7 linked regions of the Nothobranchius furzeri genome follow. The protein of the gene in region 4 purifies or fractionates together with the protein of the main gene of each other region. This does not show direct contact. Links are inferred from orthologs where the notes say so. Each region holds a gene or a part of one and is shown on either strand. Other genes may lie near its edges. The genes, in order: runx1, skia, wdr5, hdac3, rb1, ccnd1 and atxn3.

Region 1 (2,784 bases), on a different chromosome or scaffold from region 4:
TAATGACACAAAAAGCCATCATTTCCTACAAATAACACATCATAGTAACAAAAAAAAAAAAACATCAGTCCAAACCTAATCATAGAAACAAAGTTATGTTACAACCTGAAAACAAATATATTATTCTGACTGTTGTCTCTGAGTTCTGAGAGAAAAGGTGATCAAAGACCTGGTGAGACACTTCTGATGCCATCCCTGATTTCAGGAGTGAGCTGCATCAGTCGTAGCGCTGGTTCTGGTTACATCTTTCCCACTGGACCAGTCTGGGAAAACACGACTTTACAACACTGAACTGTTTCATGAGTCTAATTATCACAGAGCCATAATTAAAATTTAAACCAGTGAAAAGCTGAATTAAACGGCTCCTTGTGTGATGAGTCTATGTATTATATATTCCATTTTATGAATTGGAATTGTTGATATAAAAGTACTTTTCTACAAATTTGATCTCGATAGTGAATCATCTATAAAACTAATTGTCAGAAACATCAGACACAGACTTTTATTCATTTGTGACACGGAGCTCTTTATTCTCCAAAACATGAATCGAAACAGCTCAGTCTGGCTGATGTCACTACAATAAACACACACAGTAGAACATTTGCATTCACAGTCTCATTTCTATATCTTGGAAAACCAATTCAGAATTAGTTTATCCCAGAATGAAAGCGATTTTCCCTGTTGAGCTAAACGAATGCTATAGGAAAAACTCTTAAAATAATGTTCCAGTAACAGTAAATTAGAAATGTCCCCTCTAAAACATATCTTTAGTACAGAAAAGAGTGAGAGAGCTGCCAAAACAAATCAGTGTTCGAGGAAAACAATGGATTCCATTGTACAAAAGTCAAAATGGACGAGTTCCAAATAGTTTGTACCAGTCTTTAACTTTTTTGGTCATTTTTCTTGAATTTGTGCTTCTTTAATGGCTAAACTCAAAACTATTTTTGTTTGTTTGTCATTTATTCCAAGAGTAATCCCAAAAAAGTAATATGAGTGGACATGAAAATGATGCTGTTGGTATTCAGTTGTTCTCCGTTCACTTGGGGGTCTTAAGTTGTTATGAAGTCTCCAATAATGGTTTTATTTTCATCCACCCATTCCAGTATCTGCCATTACATGTCCAGATGGTCTACTGCCACCTCAGAGGCTTCAGTAGGGTCTCCATACAGCTTCAGCGGCAGCCATGTTTGTTGGGGAGCTGCTGTGGCTGGATTCCACCTCTACACTCACCCCTTCATTCTGATTGGGCAGAGACGGGTGCAGAAAGGGGGAGCCTGTAGAGGCATTACTGCATGGAGGCAGGATTCGTGGTGGTGTACGAGATTCGCTGCTGCTGCCTCCTCCGGCCATCATGGAGAACTGGTATGAACCGGCTGCGGTGGAGTAGTACAGGTGATACGGTGACGAGGTGGACTGGAAGGGCCCATTCTGAGCTTGGTGAGGGGTGTTTGCTGGGTAGGGAGGAGGCAAGTATGTGTGGTACCGCCCTGTAGGAGTGGTTGCCATGGCTGTTGCCATGGTGATGCCAAGGGCACCATTAGACACAGGATTATGGGATGGGGTGTAGGAGAAAGCCGCTGCCGTAGGGGGGTAGTGCACCCGAGGATCGGAGAAACGGGAGTCGGGCAAAGAGGGAAGTGAGGTAAAAGATCGCTCCAAAGTCATCCTGGGGTCACTGAAAGCTGTAAGGTCAGGACCTGAGAAAGGGCAAAGGTCAGGGACAACCATTACTCAATTATCTTGTGTGTGTGTGTGTGTGTGTGTGTGTGTGTGTGTGTGTGTGTGTGTGTGTGTCGGGAGGTTGTTACCTGTGAGTCTTGACGACAGGTCACTGAGTGAGGAGCGGCCAGGTGAAAGTGGATTGGCTGTGTGAACAGTGGGCGTGGTTAACTGGCCGAGGTATGGATAGGACTGGTCATAGGACCAAGATGGAGATGACTGCATCTGCCTGGAATCTGGGGGATACAAAAGCAGAGAATAGGCTGTTCATTTAACAGCTTTCTTTTGTGGACTTCTCCGAGTCACTGCAGTAGTCCAGGCCTGGCTTCTCGGGGTTTATAGAACGAAAATAAGATTTAGCGCTGGCAATTTGACCTAACTGATAAAAACTGGTCATAACAAGCTTTAAAATGTAAGACAACAATCAAGAAATTCTCCCAAGATTTATAAAAGTGAGGGAGCAATGAATAGCAAAAATCACGACTTAAAGGTTGAATATGGAACACGGACACTATAGTGACATCTAGTGTTTAGAGGTGGTAGTGCAACAAACCGTCTGGGTGTTGGTTCACTGCTGACATGTGAAGTGACCAGCCAGCACCATGTCCAGTGACGAATAGTGCAGGGTAAGGACTCATTTCTAATAATATGTTTATTTTACAACAGAGTTTACCTTTAAAACATCTTCTGGGTTCAGAATCAGCTGCTTGACTTAACGAGTCCGCCATTTTACACAGCCCAGGCCTTGCCTTGCCAAGCAGACCTTTTACCGTAGCAGTGCCACCTAGTGGCTGGTAGATGTAAACATAAACCCAGTGTTGTGCGCGTCAAAATAAAATTTTGATTCTTTTTTTTTTATACTTATAAAGCTTTTAACCCTCTCTCTCCCTAAACTTGTTAGATGTTAAGAGTGTGGAGTGAATTTACCGTTACCTTAATGAGCCACTGGCAGCAGCTTTAATATTTTCCTTGATTTCTATTCTTTTAAACTTCTTGCACACACGTCACATTGTCAATTATTAAAAAAGTAAGTTCTGATTCACAGGTTAATTCTGAAGTTTTTGG
Region 2 (3,932 bases), on a different chromosome or scaffold from region 4:
TCGGGAGCAGGAGCTGCATCCTCCTGCATCGGGAGCAGGAGCTGCATCCTCCTGCATCGGGAGCAGGAGCTGCATCCTCCTGCATCGGGAGCAGGAGCTGCATCCTCCTGCATCGGGAGCAGGAGCTGCATCCTCCTGCATCGGGAGCAGGAGCTGCATCCTCCTGCATCGGGAGCAGGAGCTAACTCACACAACAGGAGCAGCTGCAGAAACGGTGACATTTGCTCTGGAAGTCAGACATGAGCACGTCTCATACTTTCAAAAGAGCGTCTGCAGGGAGGGAAGTGAAGCAATCTCACTTCCTGTCTGTCTGCGTACGAGACTGCTGCTCACACTTCTGCAGCAGCCTCGTTAAGATTCAGAGACACTCGAAGACGCCGTCTATTTCTGAGCCGTCCAACAAGCTCCTCCAGAAAAGTGCTGACAAAGGGTTCGGCTACCACCCAGAAAGCATCTCCTCATTAGAGTGCCTCGGAAAAAAGAGGAGAGGAGTTAAAACCCGGGATCGAGTTTTCCTCCCAGCCGGAGGAGGCCCCTGAAAGCAGAGGTCCTTTGGGTGTGCCCACTCCCGCCTGAATGGAAGTGTGTGCCAGCGGTGGGCATTCACGCAGGACTTTGGCATTGGTCTGGATTACAAGAGGTTGTCCCGATTTTCCCTTTCTTCCCGAGATTCCTCTGAAAGCAGCCTGAGAGGAGGAGGAGTGCTTGTAAACAGTTTGCTGTTGCTTTCTGAGCTCCACCAACAGGGCTGCCTCCAGGAAAGAGCTGCGGTTTCAATCCGATGGTCAGACGGGAGGAAGGGACCGGTGGGGGTGGTGGGTGGTCCCGTGTTAGCTGAATGACCCTTTTGTTGGGATCATATTATGTTTCCACCACAATACTCCTAAACCCCGCTTCATCCGCTCCACCGATGTGTAACAGTTCATGCAAATGGGCTTTTGCTGTGAGGGGTGGGCCTGGCTCCAGAAACTCCTCCTCACACCTCCACGGCTCCAAACACACACACAACAGCCAGTCTGCCAGGAAAAATGAAGGATTCAAGTGTTGGAAGTTTTACGTCTCAGCGGCCGAACCAGGAACACGCCAAGCAGCCGCGTTCAAACACGTTGGTGCAAAAACGTCGGGTCTAAAAACGCAGAAAAAGCTTAAACCGCACAGGAAGTCAGACTGGAGACGGCCACGGGGACCTTTATCACACCACACACACACACACACACACACACACACACACACACACACACACACACACACACACACACACACACACACACACACACACACACTTGTATTTACTGTACAAGCCAATAAAACGACACCAGAGGGTAAATAATGGCTTTATAGCCACCAGAGGCTGGATGAGACTCAATTAGCAGCAATATGGTGATGGAGGGGTTGGGGTGATGATGCGGGCTCACACACACACACACACACACTGGTTAACTGAGTCAGAGCTAACCAGGACCCACACAGAAAAGGGTTCTCCTCCTCCAGAACCAGATGAGGAGGTCGGACTCACCCTGGATGAAGCTTTCCTCTTGTACTTGTTGGTGAAGTCGAACTTCTCCTTGATGTCGTCCAGGAGCTGCTCCAGGCGGACCTTCTCCTCTTTCCCTGTGTAATCCTGACCCAGGAGGATGTACGCCCTCCAGTTGGCAGAGTCGAAGCCCCAGTGGCACGTCCGGTTCTCCTGCGCCTTGTGGCTGTGCACCACGAACTTGTGGGTCGGGTACATGAGTCTGCAGTCCATGCACTGGATGCAGGCTGCGTTGGGGCTGGAGTACAGCTCCGGCACCAGCAAGCCCTTGCACTTGCCGAAGCACTCGTGGTAGACCTTGAAGCTCCTGTCGGTGAGCTGCAGCTCCAAGGACCCGGAGCCTAGCTCCTTCTTGCAGCGCGGCGGGTAGGCGCCTCCGTAGATCAGGGCGTTGCACAGCCGCTCGGCGTCCGTCTTGGTGATGAGGCCGCAGGACGGCGCCGAGAAGGGCAGGATCCCCATGACTTTGAGGATCTCCAGCTGGTCCGCCGTGCATCGGGAGCAGTAGATGTGCAGCTCGTCGCACACGGAGTTGATCTGCTGCAGGGTGAAGTCCCGCAGCACCGTGTTGAGGATCTGCGGCAGGCACAGCCGCTTCTCCCCGCCGACCACGAAGCAGGAGATGGTCTCCGCCTCCAGGACCGTCTCACACCTCTCCGTGGAGCGGTCCGACGGGATGAAGAGCGGACCGGGCATCACGGGCTGCGGCAGATGCTGCAGGACCGGTTCGGGCTCCTTCCCGTCCTTCTTGAAGAGGAGCTCATGTTGCCACCGGGCCGAGAACGCCGCCGGTCCGCCCAGAGAGCTCATGGAGCTGAGGTGGAACTGCTTCAGAGTTTGCTGCAGTCCCGGATGAGGCTGGAAGCTCTGCCGACTTACAGTCTCCATGTTTTTCCTACAACTTTGGAAGCGAAAATCCTTCTTCTGGCTGGCCGGGAGTCGCGAGGGTCGATCCGTTTCTCGAGCTGGTAAATCCGCGGTGTCCCAGAGCTGCGTGGAGCTGCTGAAGCTTCATCCAACATGAATCCGAGCGCAGCGCTCTAGACACCAGTCCTCTCCGCGCCAGCCCTACGGAGCGCACACCGGCCAGAGGGTCGCAGCCCGTCCATGTCCGACAGGAGTCCGAACTCCACAGGGCGCAAAGTTCCGGTGGAAACTTCCAGAAGCGGGACACGAGAGGCAAACCCGCGCGAGCACAGATCCCGAATTCAGGTTGGTTCTGCTGTCGAGGACCGCAGAGATCAGGTCCGCCTGCCCCCGCACTTCCCTCTGACTGGAGATGCTGCTGGCGCGCGCTGCCTCCTCCCCTCTGCCTCGCGCCCTCCCCCCTCCCTCCCCCTGTGTTTGTGTGTCTAGCTCAGTCATTGAATCCCGGCCAGGAATGTGAGTGACTCTGCGGGCAGGCCGACCGGGCTCTTCCAGGAACAAGCCGTCACCCCCTCCAGCGAAACACGCGCGCGCGCACACGCGCGCACCCCACGCGCACACACCCAGGGGCGCCTCCAGAAAATTTAGATAGGGGGGCCAGATGGCCCAAAAAGTTTTGGGGTGGCAAACCAAACTGGTGTTAGTGGAAACTCTGGGAGAGTTCAGCCGGTGGCGACGTGTTACACTTTTATTCATTTTTATTAAAAAGCTCTACGTCTCCAAAACATTTAACTTCAGTTTTACAAACATTTCAGAAAAATACTTTTCAGTTATTCAAAATGTATTTAAAATTTATTGTTTTAGGTTCATTCACCTGTTGCTGTGTTCACAAAAACAACACCTACAGAGGTAAAAACTTTTTATAATGTTGAGCAGCGGAAACATGAATTTCTTTTTTATTCTGATTATTTATTTACTCATTAATTGTATAATTTTTATTTTGTTTTACAATTATGTCTAGAATAAAGATCAATATGTGGTTTGACTGAATATTCAAACCGCAGCAACTTTTCTAGGGGGGGCGCACATGCCGCAGACACACACACACGCACACCCCCACAGACACGCACGCGCGCACACGCACACAGCGTACAAGTGCCAGGGGAACACTAATGCTGCATTCACAGATCTAATGATGGTTTTTTTAATCTAGTTTTTTTAAATGTGTTTCTGACTTTTTAGAAATCAGTTCACCAGCTAGCTCTGTGGACAGGCTAAGCTAAAGGCTAACCCGCGTGCTGCTAAAGTGTAACATGTCTAAAACTGTTTAAATATCAGGAGTTTGTGTTATTTAAGTACAGAAGCCATTACGCTTCCACAAATTCCCACATTATACCATTTATGACATTTTTTACAAACACAGGCCGAGGCCCAGTCCCAGTACTCGCCCTGTGCTCTTCAGCAGAGTGCACGTGGAGGAAGTGTGCTGTAAGGCTGCATGGTGCACAAGTGTGCTAATAACTGCAGAGTA
Region 3 (4,268 bases), on a different chromosome or scaffold from region 4:
CTGCTGATTACAGTCAGCTGTGTTGAATCAGAGACCTCTCTAAATTTTGCCTTCTTCAAGCCAGGAGACTCGTAACCAACGTGCACGTTCAAAATATTTATAGAAAAAAAATCTGGCGGACGTGACAACGTGCACGTTAGCCACAAGAACAGAACACGAGACAAAGCTCAGTTTAAAGTTAGAAGACATTTGTCAACATGATTTCAGATTCCCGAAATAACTTGTAAAAGCTTTTCATAAGCGGTGACGCAGAAGATATCGTCAAATACTTTTCGTTTACAGTGAAAAACGTGGCGTAATGTACGAATGAGACTAAATGACTAAATAAGCGAGATGGTTTTACTCAAAATGTATTAAAATGTAGGTTTGGACAAAGCGACATGATTGGCTTTAAAACGTTTCAAATACTTATCGTGAAATAAAAACACAAGTATGCACGATGTTCGTTAGCATAAAGTTAGCTAGCTGGTTTGGTAAGGGACACTGCAGCGGATGACAACACACTTTGTGACACCGACTGTTGATATAAGTTTCGAAATACCAACTACAGGTTTTGGTTAAGTAACGTTTGCTTTAATTTGGGGCAAAATGTAGCGCCAATAAATAAGCTTGAATTAAATTATCATATAACGAAGCGAAGAAGTCCGCTTCTTTAAACACCTATTGTTGTTATGGAGGAGGCTAACCGCTAAGTAATGAGTAAAAATAAGAAAATAACAACAGAAGTGTTTACCAACTCATTTAAGAGGGCGTGTTGACATGGGAGCTTGACGCTGCACGGCTTGGAAGAAAGCTCACCGAAGCCAAAACAAACTAGTGAACACCAGAGTGCAGTGTGTTCAAAAAGAACTAGAAACTTCTTCCCCGACCTATTGCAGCCACGGCTGAAGGGACAGGTCTGGTGCTCATAGCGCCATCTGTTGAGCCGGAGAATCCAAAGCGCGTTCACAGCTGATTTATGGTAAAAGTGTGAAATCTGCATTTCACAAAATCATATTTATAATTGTGGAAAGTATTGAGCTAAAAAGTAAATGGTTAGGGTTATATAAATAAATGCAAGTGATTTACTATGAAAATATCACAGTCAGTAGTTCATAACTACATAAAGCATAAAATAAGGTTACGACGTATTAAAGATATGTAATTTGTTTGTTTTATTTAGATTTTTGTTTGCTGTGTGTTTGTTTCTGTTTCATGTAGACTTTTCCTTTTTGCATATTGATTGACTCTGACAGCCACAGCCTGGTTTTTAAATGGCTACTGCCTTTCATTGAAATTTAGATGAAGTATTTCACATAATGTACTTCTACAAATTCTCTGTTGAGAATTTTTGTCATTTTAAATTTAAAAAATACAAACTTGTAATAAATAAGATTAATTAAAACTATTGGGCTCTTTTCAAACGGCAGTCGAAACGATTTTTTCATAATTGTCCCTCATTAGTTCCCGTCACTTTTGAACGTCATGCGCCTGCGCAAACTGTAAGCACATTCCCCGCTTCACCTCGCAGCTCGTTCCTTTACCAGGCAAACATCCTCAAGCAAATAGCTTGATTTGTTCTTTGTTCTATCTCTCTTTAGTTATTATACGGACTGTTTTAGATTTCCAGGATTTGCAAGGAGTACCAGTCTGACTGTAGATCTAAATTGATCAACGTAAGTATCGGTGTAAAACCGAATCTTCATTGTTTCAATGGAGGCCCCCTTCGTGGCTGCATAACTTGTCAACAGCATCAACTGCATGTCAAAACTGCGATTAGCTTCTTCATATAACTGTGGCGTTCATGCCAAAATACATTTTATTCCGCGAGACAGCCTCTAATCTATAGATCTTCACGTTGTTTTGTTCGAAGGTAACCCAAGTATATTCAGGTGTTGAACTTTACAGCGAACGTACTCGTTCTCCCTTTGTTTGCTTTTATTTTTCGCATAAATAATAATTCGAAGCAAAAACGAGCTGGTGTCAATGCATTTGAAGGCAACACAAGATGGTAAACGGTAACCGGACAAGGGGGTTGGCCTCAATCGGTTTTCATAGTAAGAGCAATTTAACGTTAGCTAACTTCAGCTAGCTGCATTAGCTAATTTTATAGCTAAACGGACCCTAAACGGGCATTTAAATACTTTTGAGCATCACAGCCTATTAATAAGCCTAATTAAAGTAAAATTTACATGATATATACTTAATTTATCTTATTTAAAGTAAACCCCACTGTTTATTTTAGATCACAGTAAAGGAAGCTAATGCTAACAGATAAAACAATAGTTTTTAATCACGTTTACCTTAATGGTGGTTATTAGCAGTCATCGAGCTGGAGGGTTTATCTTATTTCTCCAAACTTTAAAATTCCGGGTGTTAGAAATTGTAAAATTTCCACCCAATAACTTATCCCAGTTGTTTAATCTTTAGGTTTAACTTGCCTGATTTATTAACTTTTTTTATGGTTTCTTCTTTTGTCTCAGGTGCAATAGATGCTGATTTCCTCACCATGGCAACAGAGGACAAGAAACCAGAGACTGACACCAAGCCTCCAGTTGTCCCATCAGCCTCTGCTAGCCAAAGCAAGGTCTGACAAACCCAAGTTTTGGCATTGCCTGTAATCTCCCACCCTGTCCTCTTATGATAGTTTAATTCTAAGTTTTTGTTAAGGACTGTCAATATTCCAGCATTATTTCGGATTTTTTCTTTCTTTATTGAAAGTATTTCATCATGTTTATTCATTTGCTAAATTAGAACTGGTTTTCTTTTGCAGACTGCACCTGCAAAACCAAACTACAGTTTGAAATTCACACTAGCGGGACACACTAAGGCTGTGTCCTCGGTTAAATTCAGTCCAAGTGGAGAATGGCTCGCCAGCTCGTGTAAGCATCTCATTTTGAATCATATCTTGTTTAAATCTCAGCTACCTCAACATAAATCTTCTTTCATTCCATAATAAAATGTATTGGGTTTTGTGAAACTATGTTTGATCCAGAGCTTTTTTTAAAGTTTGATAAAACACTTGTACTGCATAGATGAAGTGTATTTTGTGCTCTAAGTTAAATGTAAATAACAATAATAGCAGTGCTTTAGTGACTAAATATTCTTATGCAATTGTGAAATTTTTATTGGTTTTAGTATTTATCTTTGGGTACACTCGTTTCATTTGAATATCTGATCAGCTGAAATGATTGAAATGGGGAAATTATATATTTTTTACCATTTTGCAACTTTTCAGTCATTTTTTTTCTCTTTTTCATGATGTCTTTTTCATTGTTTGTGTTACAGCTGCTGATAAACTCATCAAAATCTGGGGCGCTTATGATGGCAAGTTTGAGAAAACCATTTCTGGACACAAACTTGTGAGTAGAAGGGACCCTTACCTGTGGCACTGTTGTGTTTCTGCCTGCAGGACTGTATTAGGTAGAGTTTCACCGCTTTTACTAAAACATCAAAGACTCCTCCCACCCTGGTCATTACTGTTTTGGACTCTTGCCGTCCAGTTGGTGCAAACAATCCCCTTCCCCACAGCAGTAAACTAAATGTACTAAAACCCTCTCATGCGCATTAGAGCAAAAACCTCAGTCACCAGTGCAATAAGTCTAATATAAAGTGAATACATTTACTGCTGCTACATATCTAGTAAACATGTACTTCTGTTTATATATTTATATCTGTTCTTTTTTTCTTCTGTTATTCCAAACACACCATTTGAGTGCCATGCAGCAGCAGAGGGTATTCACATGCAGTGAATAATAAAAACTTTGAGTCTGATCTGTTTGGTCGTTCAAAGCAAGAACAAGATTGTATTTACATTTTTAGAAGATAAACATGAGAAATGACTCCATTGTTTACTCTTGTATCATTTTATGTCCTTGAAGCCTTGAGATCTTAGAATTTCTTTATTTTCCAGGGAATATCTGATGTGGCCTGGTCATCTGACTCCAACCTTCTTGTTTCTGCGTCGGATGACAAAACTCTGAAGATCTGGGACGTTAACTCGGTAAGAATGTTTTAAGGTGTGGTTCATTGAAAAACCTTTTTTAATGATTATTTTAGTTACTCTGAGGTTTTTCATGCAGGCTGAACATGACAAAAGTCTCCTATCTTCTGGATTAGCTAGAAAATAGATGGTGAAAGTCTAGGGTTAGAAAATCCTGACAGATCCACGTTACACTGTCACTAAACATTCATGGGCTCACCCATCTTGGCTCATGACGAGGACGGCTATTGTTGGTTTAGCGTCCAGAAAACAGCATAGAACATCTCGGCTGGTAGAAGCTAACCGT
Region 4 (3,500 bases):
GTAGCATTTGATCAGTCAGTGTTAACTAAAAATATGAGACTCAAGACATCAATTCTGACGATATGATTATCTGACACACACCTGCATCTGGTCAGACTTTCTCACAGGGAAAGGCAAAAGGTGGACCTACAAATTAACTAAGGCAACAAATAAATAAGCACTTTGGAACTAGTCGATAAATTGCTCATTCAGGATATCTGTGTGTTCGTATACATTACCTTATGGTTAAGCTGTGTTGCTCCCTGTAAAGATGCTCCCGTGTATCTTGAACAGAACTCAAACAAACCCGGAAACACGGGACTGAAATGCAAAAAATAAAAAAATTCAGACTTATCAAGGGTGTGAGATTTTAAAGCATAACTAAACTGAGAAGACAGCTGAAAACACTTGAGCATGATTCAAACAATCATTTGAGTGTATCTGCACGATAAAAGTCAGCAGCACTTGCCAGTCATCTCCCACGTTGAATGCGTTGAGACTCTTCGTGAAGCCCTGCATGTTGTTGGGGCTGACCTTTTGCAGGAAGTCGATGTATTCTTCAGAATGGAACCGACACATGTCGTGCTGAGAAGCTTTGTAGGGCTTGAAAACCTAATCAGGTACCAAAATCTTCAGTAAGGTATCATTTTATCACTTCTACGTGGTGAAGAGCACCATTAGACTCTGAATCACCATTTGCTGCTCACCATCATTTTCTTGTAGAGTCCATAGTGCAACACCAAGCTGTGAGTGAGCGACAGACGGTGAGGTTTCATGGGGTGACCGGCACCTAAAGGAGACATGGTTCAACTTTGTTTTTTGTTTTTTTTAAGCCGATCTAAACAATTTTGCATAATTTCAGAACAGAACAACGTGTAGTAAAACAGGCAAAACCTTAGGATGAAACTGTAACTGTGTTATGAGCTGAGATTGTTTCTGATGAGGATCTGGTGAACAGTTCGAGGTTCTACGTAAGATGAATTATTCTCTTCTGCCAGATGTGTTGTATTTGTTTTTCAATTTGTCAGAACTTATAAATGCTGTTTTGTATGTATATAAGTATATACACGCACACACACACACACACACACACACACATATATATATATATGTATATGTGTGTGTATATATATATATATATTTATATACACACACATATACATATATATGTATATGTGTGTATATATATATATATATATATATTTATATACACACACATATACATATATATATATACACATATGTGTGTGTATATATATATATATATTTATATACACACACATATACATATATATGTGTGTGTATATATATATATATATATTTATATACACACACATATACATATATATATATATATATATACACATATGTGTGTGTATATTAGGACTGGGCAATAAATAAAAAATTTATCGAAATTTCTCTTATTGTGATCATTTTTCCCATGTCAATACATTTGAAAATCAAAAATTAAAAGATGTGTGTAGGTTGGCAACGTTAGTGTCCCTTTCACCCTCTCAGGCTCAAAGTAAGTTTTGATAAAAGGACGAACTACTAAGTCCTTCATGGGTACTTCTGATTTAAAAAATGCTCATAAAATATGTATGTGGAGTAACCAGGTTGGTAGGTTTTAACGTTGCAAATCTGCAACGCCTGCCTCCAGAGGGTTAGGAAGCTGTACCACCTTGAGTCACGCAGAAATGTGACACAACGTAACATGTGACAGCCCCATCTAGTGGACAACTTTTGTTTCTGCGCCTACCTGTAGCTATCATCCATTTATTGTTATCAATCCTCAATATATCGTGATATTAATTTCAGGCCATATCGCCCAGCCCTTTCATATATATATATATATATGTATATATAATGTTGCCAACCTGAACCTACACACATCCTTAAATTTTTTTATTATCAAATTTCCTGACATGGGAAAAATGATCACAATAAGAGTCCGACATTTCTATAACGATACATTTTTTATTTATTGCCCAGCCCTAATGGTAAAAATGGCCGGCATTTATAAAGCATTTTCTAGAGTTCTACAACCCCTCAAGAAACTTTACAACTAAACAGTTATTCACTCACATTCTTACACACACACACACGTTTATGAAAATAGGACAAAATTTCGTCCTCCACTGCGCTCACCTGTTATATATAACTCCAGACCAGTTCCCAATAGGGATGGGTGATAGTCTCAAAATTAGTTCACAGTACTCATGCAGAAACAATAGTTGTGATTATAAACATACATGTCTTCTCTGTGAACTACTGTGCACAATAACTGTGTCAATTTATAAGGTATAATGGAATCTAAAACCGGCTGCACAGTGGTTAGAGCTGTTGCCTTGTAGCGAGAAGGGTTCGCTTCCCGGCCTGGGATCTTTCTGCATGGAGTTTGCGTGTTCTCCCTGTGCATGCGTGGGTTCTCTCCGGGTTCTCCGGCTTCCTCCCACAGTCCAAAAACATGACTGTTAAGTTGATTGGTCTGTCTAAATTGCCCCTAGGTGTGTGTGTGTGTGTGTGTGTGTGTGTGTGTGCATGATTGTTTGTCCTGTATGTCTCTGTGTTGCCCTGCGATGGACTGGCTCTCTGTCCAGGGTGTACCCCGGCTGATTGCCCGTTGACCCCCCCCCCCCCCCCCCCCCCCCCCACGCGACCCTGCGTGGACAAAGCGGGTTCAGAAAATGGATGGATGGAATCTAAAACCTACAAGATGCTGACCCTGCAGAAGATCACTAAGATCACTAATGCAAACATTACTTCTGGCATTTATTTCTCCATAAAACTTTAAACCAAGTATAACCACGGCTGAACAATTAAACTGCACTTCTGAACTAGAACTTTAGATACAAATATAAACAATGATCAGTAATAACAAAAAATAAATACATTTTCTCTTGGAATAAACCTAACATGCAAAAGCATCATTCACTTCCATGCGGTGCTCTTCCTACCTGGTATAAGCTTGACTTTAGACCCTTACTTTCTGAACCGTTGACCCTTGAATAGATCTAAAGTGAAGATGATGACTAATGGCGCTTTAACTTTATAATTTAGTTAATAATCTAACCTGAATCAAAACTGCACTACTGATCCCAACTAACGGTAAAGAAGACTCACGAAAAGGCATTATCCAAGTGCTGACCTGTTACTTAGTTTTATTTTTGAACTACGTAATTAAAATAGTTCAGGAATATTTGTTCTGGTGTAAGAAACAATAGCACCTTCCGGTTGAGCCTAAACATATTAATCTGACAGGAATACAGGAAAATTAACGTCAATTTTAAAGTATGAAAGCTGCAGAGAATATTATTTTTAAAAGCACCATTATATTTGCAAAAGCACCCATAAATTGCATCACAGGAAAGTATAAAATATTTTTAAAAAAGCATTTTTTTTTGTGTGAACTATTAGCATGTAACTGGCTAACTAGCTAACGCCTCTACGGATTGATTTACTATGAGGATCAATCTCACCATAATGAAAGTTTCCCACGTCCGGGTCATAAAAATAAGATG
Region 5 (3,500 bases), on a different chromosome or scaffold from region 4:
TTTATAATTTCAACCATATAAATATTTGTTGCTATCATTTACAAATATAATTCATCTGCGTATGTGTCCAATACTGAGGGGACAGCACTAACAACAACGTGATGTAATACTGACCGTTCTCCATGCAATCCTCTCCATGATGAGGTTCTCACAGGTCTCCAGATGTTTGATGATATCTTTGCTGAGCGTGGGTTCCGCTTTGATGAAGCTCTCGATGACCTTGTAGAAGTCAAAGGCAGGCAGGTTGAACACGTTCAGTATCCAGGGGAAACACACGTCTGTTCCAGCCTGGTCCCCTCCTCCAACGTTGTACCTTCCATTTTTAAAACTGCTTTCTGATCAAAAATAATATTACCAAGACACGCAGACCTTTAGCTGTGACGTACAACAAGTGCTTTAGGAAACTACACGTAGACAAGCATCACTGGAAGCACCTTCATATGTTGCCATGACGACCTCCAAAGCACAAGCCAGCAGGGATGTGTGAAACGTGGAGTCGTTGAGGAGTTTACTAGAAAAGGAAGCTCGTTATAATATAGTAGGCGTAGTTTTCCAAACACAAACGAAGCACACACGTTATTTTACACACAGAAAAATTAGTAAACAAATTATCACCTGAAATTTTGAACAGAAAGCCGCTTCTCTTCCTGTAAAGAAAAAGAAAATCTTAAATGTCAGTGTTTGCATGCAAACCAATGTAGAAAATGAGCTAAATAAAAAAAGGTTCCCGCACCGATTTCAGCATGGCCTCCATGACTTTGTAATAAAGTCGTACACCGAGAGCAAATCTCTAAGGGGTTAAGGAGAATTTGTTAAGAAGCTGCCACAGTGGGAGGACAGGGTGCACAAAACCTCCGTGGTGGCTCGTACCTGCCGACCGTACACAACACCGCGTGGCCCAACAGCCTCACCAAACTTCTGGCTGAACATCTGTCCAAGCGTCTCCAAACGCTTCTGCACATCCTGTGTCGGGTCCACAGAGCAGTTCTGATGACAGGAGAGAAGACGAGAAACAAAACCTTAAACTAATCAAGCTACGAGTGAACAGGACTGTTGAATTAGTACAAATGCTTCAAGAGACCCACTTTGAAATATGTAGCCAGGTTAGTAGAAGGCTGGTCTCCACTGGAGGGGAGGTCTCCTCTCAGCATCCGGATGGATGTCATGGCAGCTCTGAGACGGAGACAGAAACAGGGATGACACCAAACTCCTGAGGAAAAACCCTTTTATCTGGAAAGCTACCACAAAACACTGAATATTCCTGGATAACTTTAGTTAAGAGGTTGATAAAAACTGCAAACATATTAAAGATTACTGTAAACTGATATTTTATGTTACTCTGTTTAAGGACGTTTAAAAACCCTCACTAATAAAACAGGCTCAAGTGCTGATTTCAAACTGGGCTAGATTTATAAAAAAAAAAAAAAAAAAGAGGGGGACATTGTTTTATCTCAAAGTGTGAAATAATCATTTTTCATCCAAGTTTTTTCTTTCCTCTGGAGCAACAGCTGAACGCTCACCTGACGGGAGTCTCCGGAGGGATCAGAATCTCGTCTTCATCTGGCTGGCTCTTCTTTGGTGTTCTCTCTACTTGTGATCTGAATGCAGAAAACCGTTTTTCTTCATTTTATTTAGCATTTCCCTTGTTTATTTTTGAATGTGCAGCAAACGAAAAAATGAACAGTAAGAAAAAGATTTTACATCTCAACTTTAGGAGCAACAAGAGTCTCATCTCCATCCAAAAACAGCCGTCCATCGATGTCTCTGGACTTGAGGTAGTGCTCCTCATACTGCTGGTTGAAGTCAGAAACCTGGCAGGAAAAAAAATAAGGCAGCTAAAAGACTAAACTAAGTTACAATTATGTTTATGGGTTAGGGTACACTCGAGCACAACTGCACTATTTAAACAACATAAAACCAGACCAGCTATTAAGAGTCATGTCAATAATTTTATTTAGAAGTATTTGTGTTAATGTACAAATATGTGTAAACTCTGTCTAAAACGTTTACCATCAGTCTGTTACCGGGGTAACGTCACAGTAACATGAATTTTTACACCAGCCTCTGCCAATAAAGACCCTGAGATACTGCAAAAGATATCTCTGTGTGCGTGTGTGTTTGTGTGTGTGCGTGCATGCGTGTGTGTGAGAGAGCACACACAAGCAGAACACCGAACAGCCCCTGTCTGTTAAACACTGAAAAGCTGGAGGAGAGATAACTGGTGGAAATAAGAGATGCGGTAAAACCCAAGCTAGAGAACATGTTGTCTGATAGCAGCTGCCTACCTGAGGAAAATCTGGAGATCTAGACAGATCCAGGGACTCTAGAAATGCCAAGAAGCTGGTCTGGTAAACATTCTTCACCTGTAGTTGGTAGGGAGAGAAGATTAGGGCACAAGCAGTCGAAAAAGAAACTTCTGTAAAAGGTAAAAGAAAACCAGAGGACTTCAAACCTCTTCTAAACTGCATTCGTTCTCTTTGCACAAAGTTTCAAGAAGCTGAACATCAAGCTCCAGCTCTGCAGGCCTGGATTTGGCTTTGTTCTGGCTCCGACGAGACGCTCGTGTTGGCACTTTGTTAATGGAAGATTCTGAGAGGAGACATTGTATATTGTTAATCGCTGACCAACATTTTTCAATAAAAAATTTCCTTCACCCTTATTAGTTTGATTATAAAAATACCAAAATGCATAAAACAAAGCTCTGGTTTACGGTAAAGAGGCTGCAGAAGGTCTGGAGAGCAGCGCTTGATAAACAGCTCCAGGGTGCAAAGCAGCAACTGGAACGATATGACCAGATCATCCTCCATCTGCAACGTCCTTCCTGCAAAGGCAGAGAGGAAAGCATGAGAATCACAACATAAACACAGGTTCCAGGTAGAAACGACAGCTGTAAACCTGAGAAATACTTTCTAATTAACCCGATTCCTACAGCTGGCCTCACAGAAAAAACAATAAGGAGCAACGTTTCTATTAAGAGCAGGGCCGGGTACCTTTAGATGGTTTTCAAAACCAGAGGCCTCATTTCTCAAGCTTGCTTACGCACAAAACGGGGTCAGAAAACTGCGTAAGCAACTTTCCACGCAAACTTTGGGATTTATGAAAGAAAACTTAGCGGAAAAATGTGCGCAACTTTAAGTTGACTAAGGACCTGGCTTACGCACATGTTGGACACGGAGAGCACCTGCAGTGCTGCTGCTGAGAAGGACTTTCACCCGGGAGATTGGGGATCGAATCCCAATTGGACCATTTTTTTTTATATGCGCCACAGATCTCTCTGAAGAATTCACAACATTGACGGCTTCAGCAACGCTGTGCCACTCCGTGGATTTTTTTCCTATTTGTTTTGCAAAAGCACTTCCTTTCATTTCTCCACTTCACCCACAGGTACATCAATTTCTGCTTCTGTGAAATTGCACTTCCTTGATCTGCCTTGATCTACGGTCGCCATGTCATTGGTGGGGCGCTGCAACAGCCGGCTTGTGTATATGCATGAGATCCAC
Region 6 (3,500 bases), on a different chromosome or scaffold from region 4:
AGAATTATACAGTGGCATTTATAACAAATAAATGCAAATAAATTGATGTTCACAAAATGTTGCATAACATTTATTTAGTCATGTCAAGGTGCTGTAGGAGAGTGCACTAGCACCGTGTCCTCAGGGAGATTAGTTATTAGTTATCAGCGTGAGGAACTTATTTCTACCTTATTTATAAACTATTTATTTACAGGTCCATCAGTTAATGTAATAATTGTCTCAACCACAGCTGCACCCCCCAACCCGGTCTCACAGGGGGCAAGCTGCACGTCTGTTTAGCATGCCGCACGCGCACATTTAGCTGTTTTTAGCTGCTCAGAAGTCCACAGGTGCGGTGTGTGTGTCACTCACTCTGGTTAATCCAACAGGGAGCCGGCTCTGAGAGCTGTTTCTTTAGCGACTGACACGTCACTGCATCATTCCCTTTCCTAATGTCCTGAAGAACGGTCCGGAGCGCAGGCGGAGTGTTTAGCTAACCTGCAGGAAATGTCAACGACAGTTATCCAGAAAGAAGCTAAGGGTTACCAGAGATGTTTCTGAGGTGTTCGCTAGGTACTTTTAGGATTTAAAAAGTCAAGAAGGGGGTCTGAAAAGCTGCTAGAAATAGCGTCAAAGTCGCCAAGTTGGCAACACTGTGGGAGGAGCGCTTCATTTGCAACTCAGGGCAGCGCAAGTGGGAGGAGCAAATAATCGGCTTGTTTTGTTTTTATAATCGTTCAAAACTCAGATCGTAATCGTGATTAAAATTTGATTAATTGAGCAGCCCTATTACACACAACAGCTGATCACCTACACAAGACAACAGATGAGGATGTCAATAACAATTTTCTATGAGAAAATTCAAGCCTACAATTGCAGTTTATAGACACGCATACTCCCAAAACAAAATAATCAGATCAGATAGCAGCAAACAGGAAAAAGCGTCGTTTCAATTCTTTTGTCTGCTTTATTTTGTTTCCTTTGACAGAAGCTGTCGTTTCGTTTCTATAGCAGCAGAAAACCCGGAGTGCCTCACTCCTTCCTGTACACCCTCTACCCGCAGCTCCCGCTCACCCCCCTCAGGAGCCCTGACAGCACCGGGACCCCCCACCAGGGAGGGGGGGTGTCGTGAACCTGGACTGGTTCCTATGGAACACGCCCACATGTTCATGTTTGTGCAAAGTCTCGTCTCATCTCTCCTCGAGTCAGCTTTATCGGTTTCCCAGAACCCACCAGCTTGTCTAAAGGGACACCAGGTTCTGGCAGAGCAGGGTGGGGGGGTGGTCCTGATCAGGATCTGGACTGAGGGGCTTCTCTGGAGGAACCTGGAGAGGCTTTAGTTGCTCAGCTGAAACTCGGACGGCTCCGTCGCTCGGAGGCCGTCTGGTTGGCAGTTGTGTGTTGGGAATGTTCTGGATGCATTTAGCTGAGTCAGCGTTGCTGACCAAAGTGCTTTTTTGAGTCGGACCAGCATCAGAGGGTTTAAGCAGCTCATGGCCCCTCTGGCTGGGAACAGAAGACCTACCAGACTAAAGTCTAAATAAAGTGACTAAACACGAGCAAGCCGGAGACGGGACAAAGACGTGGACAGACTAAATCACTTTAGATAGAAAAGACAACATAGTATCTGCTTGAGGATGAGGACCTTCAGGTGCGCTGACTTAAAGATTCCAAGTTTAACATGTGAGGGAAGAGCCCAGCCCTTGCAGGTCATCATGTCCTCCCCAGGACGTCCCTGTAGTCTCAGCTGCAGTCCCCTGGAGGGAAGGAACGCTGTGGTGTGTCCGATCTGATCTGGCAGCAGGCTAGCAGGAGACATTCTTGACCTTCAGCCCACTAGGAAGTTGGAGAAGGATTGAGGAGGGGTATAGGGTGAGACCAAGCAAGTCCCCCTACCCCCATCAGCACCCTCCCACAACTACTTCCTCTTGATCGTCGAGTTCACTGTAGGACAGATGTCCACCATTCTCAGATGTTGATGTCTCTCACGTCTGTGGGCGTGGAGGACGGGTCCACCTCCTCCTCCACATGTTTGTTTTCCGTTGTGCCGCTGTGCTGCTGAGCCTGTCGCAGGCTGGACTCCAGCAGGGACTCGATCTGCTCCTGACACGACCGCAAGCAGTCCTGCAAACAGAGGGTCAGCATCGGGTCAACGTCCTCACGCCAGCCACAACAACCGTCACGTCAACGAATTCAAACGTACCGGGTCGCTGCGGATGACCTGGGACAAGAAGTTGGTGAGGTTCTGAGAGGACAGGGCGGCATCCTGGTTCTTCAGGTAGAGGCCCTGAACGGCTGCCACCACGCTGCCGGCTGCCACCATCGACGGAGGGCTGGCTATGAAGTTCACGTCTGCAGGAGAGCAGAATACAAAGTAAAAGGGCTGTCGCTCAGGCTGAAGACCACATCTGTTTTGTTTCTGTCAGGATGAGCTGAGGTGTGTGTAACGACTCACACCCCACACCTGGTTGGTGTTTAATTAGCACCGAACGCAATAACCAATCTGTGCAATCAGAACAGGGAGCAGAGTAGTGGTGTGTGTGTGTGTGTCAGGGTTCCCACGCGTCCTGGAAAACCTGGAAAATGATAGTCCAATTTTCCAGTCATGGAAAACACATGGAAAATGGGTGGAATTGCAAAATGTCCTGGAAATTTTTGAGTTGTCCTGGAAAAAAATTTTCCCTCCTTGTGGATAAACAAACAGATTAAACATTTTGGGCAATATTGGGCTGTAGCGCTTCTCCTTTAATTTCTGCATCTAGCTGGCACAGCGCCCCACATGACGCTTCCAACCAATCAGATTGCATATTCCCCTTCAGTTGCAGTTCCACTTCTGTTTTTCCAACTGTCTTTTTGGCTAGATTTACAGATTTTTCACCCCTAGATTTATTTCTCTAAAGAAGGGCCAAAAGTAGCGACTCGGTTCACGAGTATTGCTTTATCGCATTTTATGGAGCGAGAGGTTTTTCTCCTTCTCTCTGTTTAATGACAAAGGAGCAGCGGAGAGCTTTTGTTTTTTTCACTCATGCGTTGAGACGAGCGAACATGACGAGAGCTTCGGGATAGCGACGGATAGCAGGTAGTCTACCGGACCCGCGCTCCACTCAGTAATTCATACTAGTTCTATCATCCAACAGCAGAAACAAAAATATGTGAATGATAGAAATGTCATGAATTTGATTCTATCAAAAATACTAAGTATGTGCTCAGAGGACAGAGCCTCAGCTGTTCATACTGTTTTTAGCTAGCTACACAGACCGCAGCCAGGAGGCAGTGAGAACTGAAGACTGGCATTGTCATTTGAACAAAGTTGTTAACGTAATTAAATTGAATTCAACACGGCTAAATTAATAACTAGAATGATTTTAAGTGGTGACTATATATTTATCATAGTAATGCTACGTAAAGTCCAGACTAAAATGGTAGCGAACAACTACAAGTACTTATCTCTGAGGTAGAAAAAAAAATATTTTTCAGGTCCAATATGTCTGTGGTGGTAGCGGGAGATATTAGCCTAGCCA
Region 7 (3,953 bases), on a different chromosome or scaffold from region 4:
TGGGTCCAGTGTGGAAACACAAGTATGGACACTATCGCCAACAATAATCAGGTACGGGCCCAGACCATTACATCACCACCAGCAGCCTGAACCGTTAAGATGGATCCATGTTTTCAAGTTGTTAACATCAAAGTCTAACCTAACATTTATGAATGTTGCAGCTGAAGTTGAGATGCAACCTTTTGCTAATATCATGATGAAAACTGCAACACTCAGACCAGCCTGCCTGGCACCAGCACAAAACCACATTCATTACCACTGAAATCCCCTTTCTTCCCCAGATAATCAGACAAAACTTCATCATGTCCACATGTCTAAATGCTACCACCTGATTGGCTGTTTGTGTTAATAAGCATCTGAACTGGTTTACCTGCTAAACAAACTGGTGAGTGTATGGTACATCCACGCCAGGAGTCTGTTTAGGTTCACTTACATAAATATGCATCATCAGAACAAATATGTTTTTGTGTACCAACTGAACACCTTGAAAATAATACAATGGATTGGATGAAGCAAGTAAAATTATACAAAAATTATATTTCGGTTTTGAAAATAAAACTGAAATAATTTATTTTATACGAAACTAAAACAAAAACCACATTAGACGGATTTCTCAATAATAAAACACAAAGGCTGTAACTACATTAGGACGTTTAAAAATGCGTGATTATGTTGGTGTTTGGGAGGCGAAAATATCTGAACAGGTAAACCTAAATATGAATAACAACACAGTAACAGTAGACTAGTTTACTTTCACTGTAAATAAACGGAAAAGGCATTCAGGACCTCAGGCTAAGCATTTTAAATGTCATGTGTAAGCACAGAGGGGAAAGACAAACACTTACATCATTTCTCATGGAAAAAGACTAAATTTATCCCGAAAAGAAGTAAAAATAAAGTCGGTTTATCCGTAATAAACAGCGTGATGCCTCTCTAATGCTAGTTAGCCTTGGCGGCTACGACTATTATTAGCCTGGCAAGAACAACCTTCTACCATAATGCAGTAAAACCTTATTACACATGATTTTTTTTTTATTTTAAACTCCGTCGTTTTGCCACAAACTCTCAGAAAGCGCTGTCAACGGAATTAGCTGAGAGAACATCATACCTGACTCAGCTCCAGCCTGTTCATGGAATTCTCACTGTCCGCCATATTCCATTTGCCGTAAGTAGAGGCGTCCAGCACTGTGCCGCGCGCACGCCCGCCCGCTAGGGGGCGTCTCCTCTCGATAGGGCGAGTGAGGGGCGGGGGTTAGAGAGTTGAACGTTTGACAGAAAGCTGAATATGGACTCCATATTTCATGAGAAAGTAGGTTTAAACATTTTATAACACGAATTTACCTGATTATATTTACTGATTTTTGATTAAGCGGTGTCGGTGCTCGATCTGCTGAATAGTTTTACCAGTTAAGTAGCCGCTATCGAGGCGTTTGTGATGGAGTTGTTGTACAAACTGCTAATACGCTAATTCACTTGCTAGTCAGAGAATGTGAAAAGTTAGATTTTTAACATGATAACTATTCCTGGCGTCATGTAGGGGTTTTGTTTTCTTGTTAGTTAATCGCTCTCTGCTTGGCTGGGTCCTCGTTGGGCTAGCTGCTACATGTGTTTGTTTTGGTTGAGCATCTTTATTCCAGAAGTCCAGCTGATGCTGGATGCTTGTTACATTCCTGATCCTTTGTTTGCAGCAAGAGGGCTCCCTCTGTGCCCAGCACTGCCTCAACAACCTTCTGCAGGGCGAGTATTTCACTCCTGTGGACCTGTCCTCTATCGCTCATCAGCTTGATGAAGAGGAGAGGATGAGGATGGCAGAGGGGGGAATGGCTAGTGAGGAGTACAGGACCTTTTTACAGGTGTTATGAGACAGAGGGTACATATTGGTACAAAATGTTATCAAAAATGTAATTTTATTCATGTTTTTCTTTCGAAAATGTGTTTAAAGCAACCCTCTGGGAACATGGATGATAGTGGGTTCTTTTCAATACAAGTGAGTTTACAATTATCTTTTTATTGCTTCTAAAATCCATGTCCTCTTCTGTAATATCACTCTTGTTTCAATATTTTCAAGGTGATTAGCAATGCTCTTCGAGTCTGGGGCTTGGAGCTACTCCTCTTTAATAGTCGAGAGTACCAGAGCCTAATGATAAACCCAGTGTAAGGTTTTAATGTGGAAACATTATGATAGAAGATCCTGATCTCTCATTTCTTTAAGCTGATGCTTACTTTGTGTTTCAGAAATGAGAAAGCCTTCATTTGCAATTATAAGGAGCACTGGTTTACTATACGCAAACTTGGACAACAGGTGTGTGGCACTCACTCACTTACCTAGTCATACTTGTCTTATAGCAGCTTGATTCACTAAAATTCTCTGTTTCCTTTGCAGTGGTTTAACCTGAATTCACTGTTGACAGGACCAGAGTTGATATCAGACACATATTTAGCACTTTTCCTTGCACAGCTACAACAAGAAGGTAGCATCAGAAACTGTACATTTAGAGGTTGAACTGGAGAAAAGATGATTAAATTAGTTCTTTTTTTTTTTTGCAGGGTATTCCATATTTGTGATCCGAGGGAATCTCCCTGAGTGTGAGGCAGAGCAGATTCTTGGGATCATGAGGGTCCATCAGCAGCAGCGGCCAAGGCTCATCGGAGAGGAGGAAGCGCAGACGAGTGCGGGGTGTGTGTCATTTTGTTCACAAGGGTTCTGGTTTGTTTAACTCGTCTGATTCGTGCGTTTTGCTGTAAGCAGAAGGTCGGCTGCTCTGAGCCAGACAGAGGTGGTTTTTGGTGTTGAGGATGAGTCTGTGGGTGAAGATGAAGAACTGAAGAGAGCTCTGGCGCTCAGTAGACAGGACATGGATGTGGAAGATGAAGATGCTGATCTACGCAGAGCCATACAGCTCAGCATGCAAGGTCAATTGTGTGCCATGTGAAGGTTTTAAAACTGTTTGAAACTTGTATTAAACTTCTAAACATTAGTTTGTAAAATTAACTATTTGCATTTGTCTTTCTGCAGGAGCAGTGATGAGCAACAGGATGTCAGACAGTGAAGGGGAGGGTGTAAAATCTGGAGGGCAGGCAGCAGAGAGCACTACAGGAGAACAAAAAGAAGGCCAAAACGAGACGCTTACAGCCGAAGAGCTGAGGAAGAGGAGACGAGCCTACTTCGATCGGTAAGATCTACAACGACTGTTTAAATCCCTAAACGAGCTCTGCCCACTTAGAAAACAGATGTTTCTGTGTTTATAGGCAGCAACAAGCTCAGCCAAGCATTCCTCAACAAGCAGACAAACATTCAGCGGCTGATCCAGGTGATTAAATCTAACTTAGTTCAGAAGTCATGTGACTTGATGACTCGTTTAACCTGTGGCTCTTATTTCCACCAGGATCAGTAAACACTGGCTCTGAGGAGGACCAACAACAAGCTCCCATCCAATAAAGTGGTGAAAGTTTTGTCCGTGTTGTTTACCTGCAGCCTGGATTCAACTCCCCTCTCAGGGGTGGCTTTGCTCCTTCTTCTAACCTTTTGCAAATGCAAACATAAGGGCAGTCAGAAGGCTGACACGTGGTTACTCCCCCGCCCCCTTCCCGCCTCGTTAGTCACTGACTGAGGAAGAGAAGAACGACAAAGAAAAGGCAGCACTTTCTCATCTGAATCTTTTAGAAAGCACGGCCACTGGACCGGAGAAGACTCACGATGCAGTTTAATCCAAGTTTGCAATTTGCCTTTTTACCATGGCGCCTTCTATTTCTATCGTACAGTTTTATATCCTGGTTTTGTGTTTCTTTTCTTAAACACGTGGAAGTTATGTCCTTACTTGCTGAGAGGTAAAACGAAAAGGCGTTCAACAGAAGCAATATGAGACCAACGTTTAGATTAAAGCTTTACGGAAAACAACAAAGCCTCCTGATTTTGTAGCGGTTTTTCGTGCAACACACAAGTAATTAAAACA

The links.
Region 1: the proteins of hdac3 (region 4) and runx1 purify together in Homo sapiens (affinity purification with western blotting; 3 studies listed by BioGRID). This does not show direct contact. The link is inferred for Nothobranchius furzeri from reciprocal best matches to the Homo sapiens genes HDAC3 and RUNX1.
Region 2: the proteins of hdac3 (region 4) and skia purify together in Homo sapiens (affinity purification with western blotting; 4 studies listed by BioGRID and IntAct, with this or other methods). This does not show direct contact. The link is inferred for Nothobranchius furzeri from reciprocal best matches to the Homo sapiens genes HDAC3 and SKI.
Region 3: the proteins of hdac3 (region 4) and wdr5 purify together in Homo sapiens (affinity purification with western blotting; 3 studies listed by BioGRID). This does not show direct contact. The link is inferred for Nothobranchius furzeri from reciprocal best matches to the Homo sapiens genes HDAC3 and WDR5.
Region 5: the proteins of hdac3 (region 4) and rb1 purify together in Homo sapiens (affinity purification with western blotting; 3 studies listed by BioGRID). This does not show direct contact. The link is inferred for Nothobranchius furzeri from reciprocal best matches to the Homo sapiens genes HDAC3 and RB1.
Region 6: the proteins of hdac3 (region 4) and ccnd1 purify together in Homo sapiens (affinity purification with western blotting; 5 studies listed by BioGRID and IntAct, with this or other methods). This does not show direct contact. The link is inferred for Nothobranchius furzeri from reciprocal best matches to the Homo sapiens genes HDAC3 and CCND1.
Region 7: the proteins of hdac3 (region 4) and atxn3 purify together in Homo sapiens (affinity purification with western blotting; 3 studies listed by BioGRID). This does not show direct contact. The link is inferred for Nothobranchius furzeri from reciprocal best matches to the Homo sapiens genes HDAC3 and ATXN3.

The regions. Positions count from the first base shown.
Region 1 is NC_091743.1:80,920,869-80,923,652, forward strand, and holds the end of runx1 (runt-related transcription factor 1), read right to left. Parts: intron 1,956-2,784; coding exon 1,809-1,955; intron 1,698-1,808; coding exon 1,150-1,697; 3' UTR 501-1,149; downstream 1-500.
Region 2 is NC_091755.1:44,987,622-44,991,553, reverse strand, and holds the start of skia (v-ski avian sarcoma viral oncogene homolog a), read right to left. Parts: upstream 2,801-3,932; 5' UTR 2,423-2,800; coding exon 1,517-2,422; intron 1-1,516. UniProt on the Homo sapiens protein: May play a role in terminal differentiation of skeletal muscle cells but not in the determination of cells to the myogenic lineage. Functions as a repressor of TGF-beta signaling.
Region 3 is NC_091746.1:41,695,278-41,699,545, forward strand, and holds the start of wdr5 (WD repeat-containing protein 5), read left to right. Parts: upstream 1-1,468; 5' UTR 1,469-1,655; intron 1,656-2,462; 5' UTR 2,463-2,488; coding exon 2,489-2,566; intron 2,567-2,752; coding exon 2,753-2,861; intron 2,862-3,267; coding exon 3,268-3,341; intron 3,342-3,892; coding exon 3,893-3,982; intron 3,983-4,268.
Region 4 is NC_091741.1:31,121,785-31,125,284, reverse strand, and holds part of hdac3 (histone deacetylase 3), read right to left. Parts: coding exon of another isoform or gene 3,459-3,500; intron 770-3,458; coding exon 687-769; intron 592-686; coding exon 449-591; intron 301-448; coding exon 219-300; intron 1-218. UniProt on the Homo sapiens protein: Histone deacetylase that catalyzes the deacetylation of lysine residues on the N-terminal part of the core histones (H2A, H2B, H3 and H4), and some other non-histone substrates.
Region 5 is NC_091750.1:48,278,848-48,282,347, forward strand, and holds part of rb1 (retinoblastoma-associated protein), read right to left. Parts: intron 2,822-3,500; coding exon 2,711-2,821; intron 2,590-2,710; coding exon 2,453-2,589; intron 2,364-2,452; coding exon 2,286-2,363; intron 1,812-2,285; coding exon 1,702-1,811; intron 1,599-1,701; coding exon 1,521-1,598; intron 1,174-1,520; coding exon 1,086-1,173; intron 988-1,085; coding exon 871-987; intron 791-870; coding exon 734-790; intron 648-733; coding exon 616-647; intron 512-615; coding exon 435-511; intron 336-434; coding exon 115-335; intron 1-114. UniProt on the Homo sapiens protein: Tumor suppressor that is a key regulator of the G1/S transition of the cell cycle. The hypophosphorylated form binds transcription regulators of the E2F family, preventing transcription of E2F-responsive genes.
Region 6 is NC_091749.1:21,584,115-21,587,614, reverse strand, and holds part of ccnd1 (G1/S-specific cyclin-D1), read right to left. Parts: intron 2,332-3,500; coding exon 2,183-2,331; intron 2,104-2,182; coding exon 1,948-2,103; 3' UTR 1-1,947. UniProt on the Homo sapiens protein: Regulatory component of the cyclin D1-CDK4 (DC) complex that phosphorylates and inhibits members of the retinoblastoma (RB) protein family including RB1 and regulates the cell-cycle during G(1)/S transition.
Region 7 is NC_091758.1:31,656,002-31,659,954, reverse strand, and holds atxn3 (ataxin-3), read left to right. Parts: upstream 1-1,195; 5' UTR 1,196-1,285; coding exon 1,286-1,309; intron 1,310-1,688; coding exon 1,689-1,853; intron 1,854-1,942; coding exon 1,943-1,987; intron 1,988-2,068; coding exon 2,069-2,154; intron 2,155-2,235; coding exon 2,236-2,302; intron 2,303-2,383; coding exon 2,384-2,471; intron 2,472-2,547; coding exon 2,548-2,677; intron 2,678-2,749; coding exon 2,750-2,913; intron 2,914-3,016; coding exon 3,017-3,173; intron 3,174-3,249; coding exon 3,250-3,311; intron 3,312-3,386; coding exon 3,387-3,439; 3' UTR 3,440-3,453; downstream 3,454-3,953. Other genes in the region: E3 ubiquitin-protein ligase UBR1, read right to left, coding at 1,109-1,153. UniProt on the Homo sapiens protein: Deubiquitinating enzyme involved in protein homeostasis maintenance, transcription, cytoskeleton regulation, myogenesis and degradation of misfolded chaperone substrates.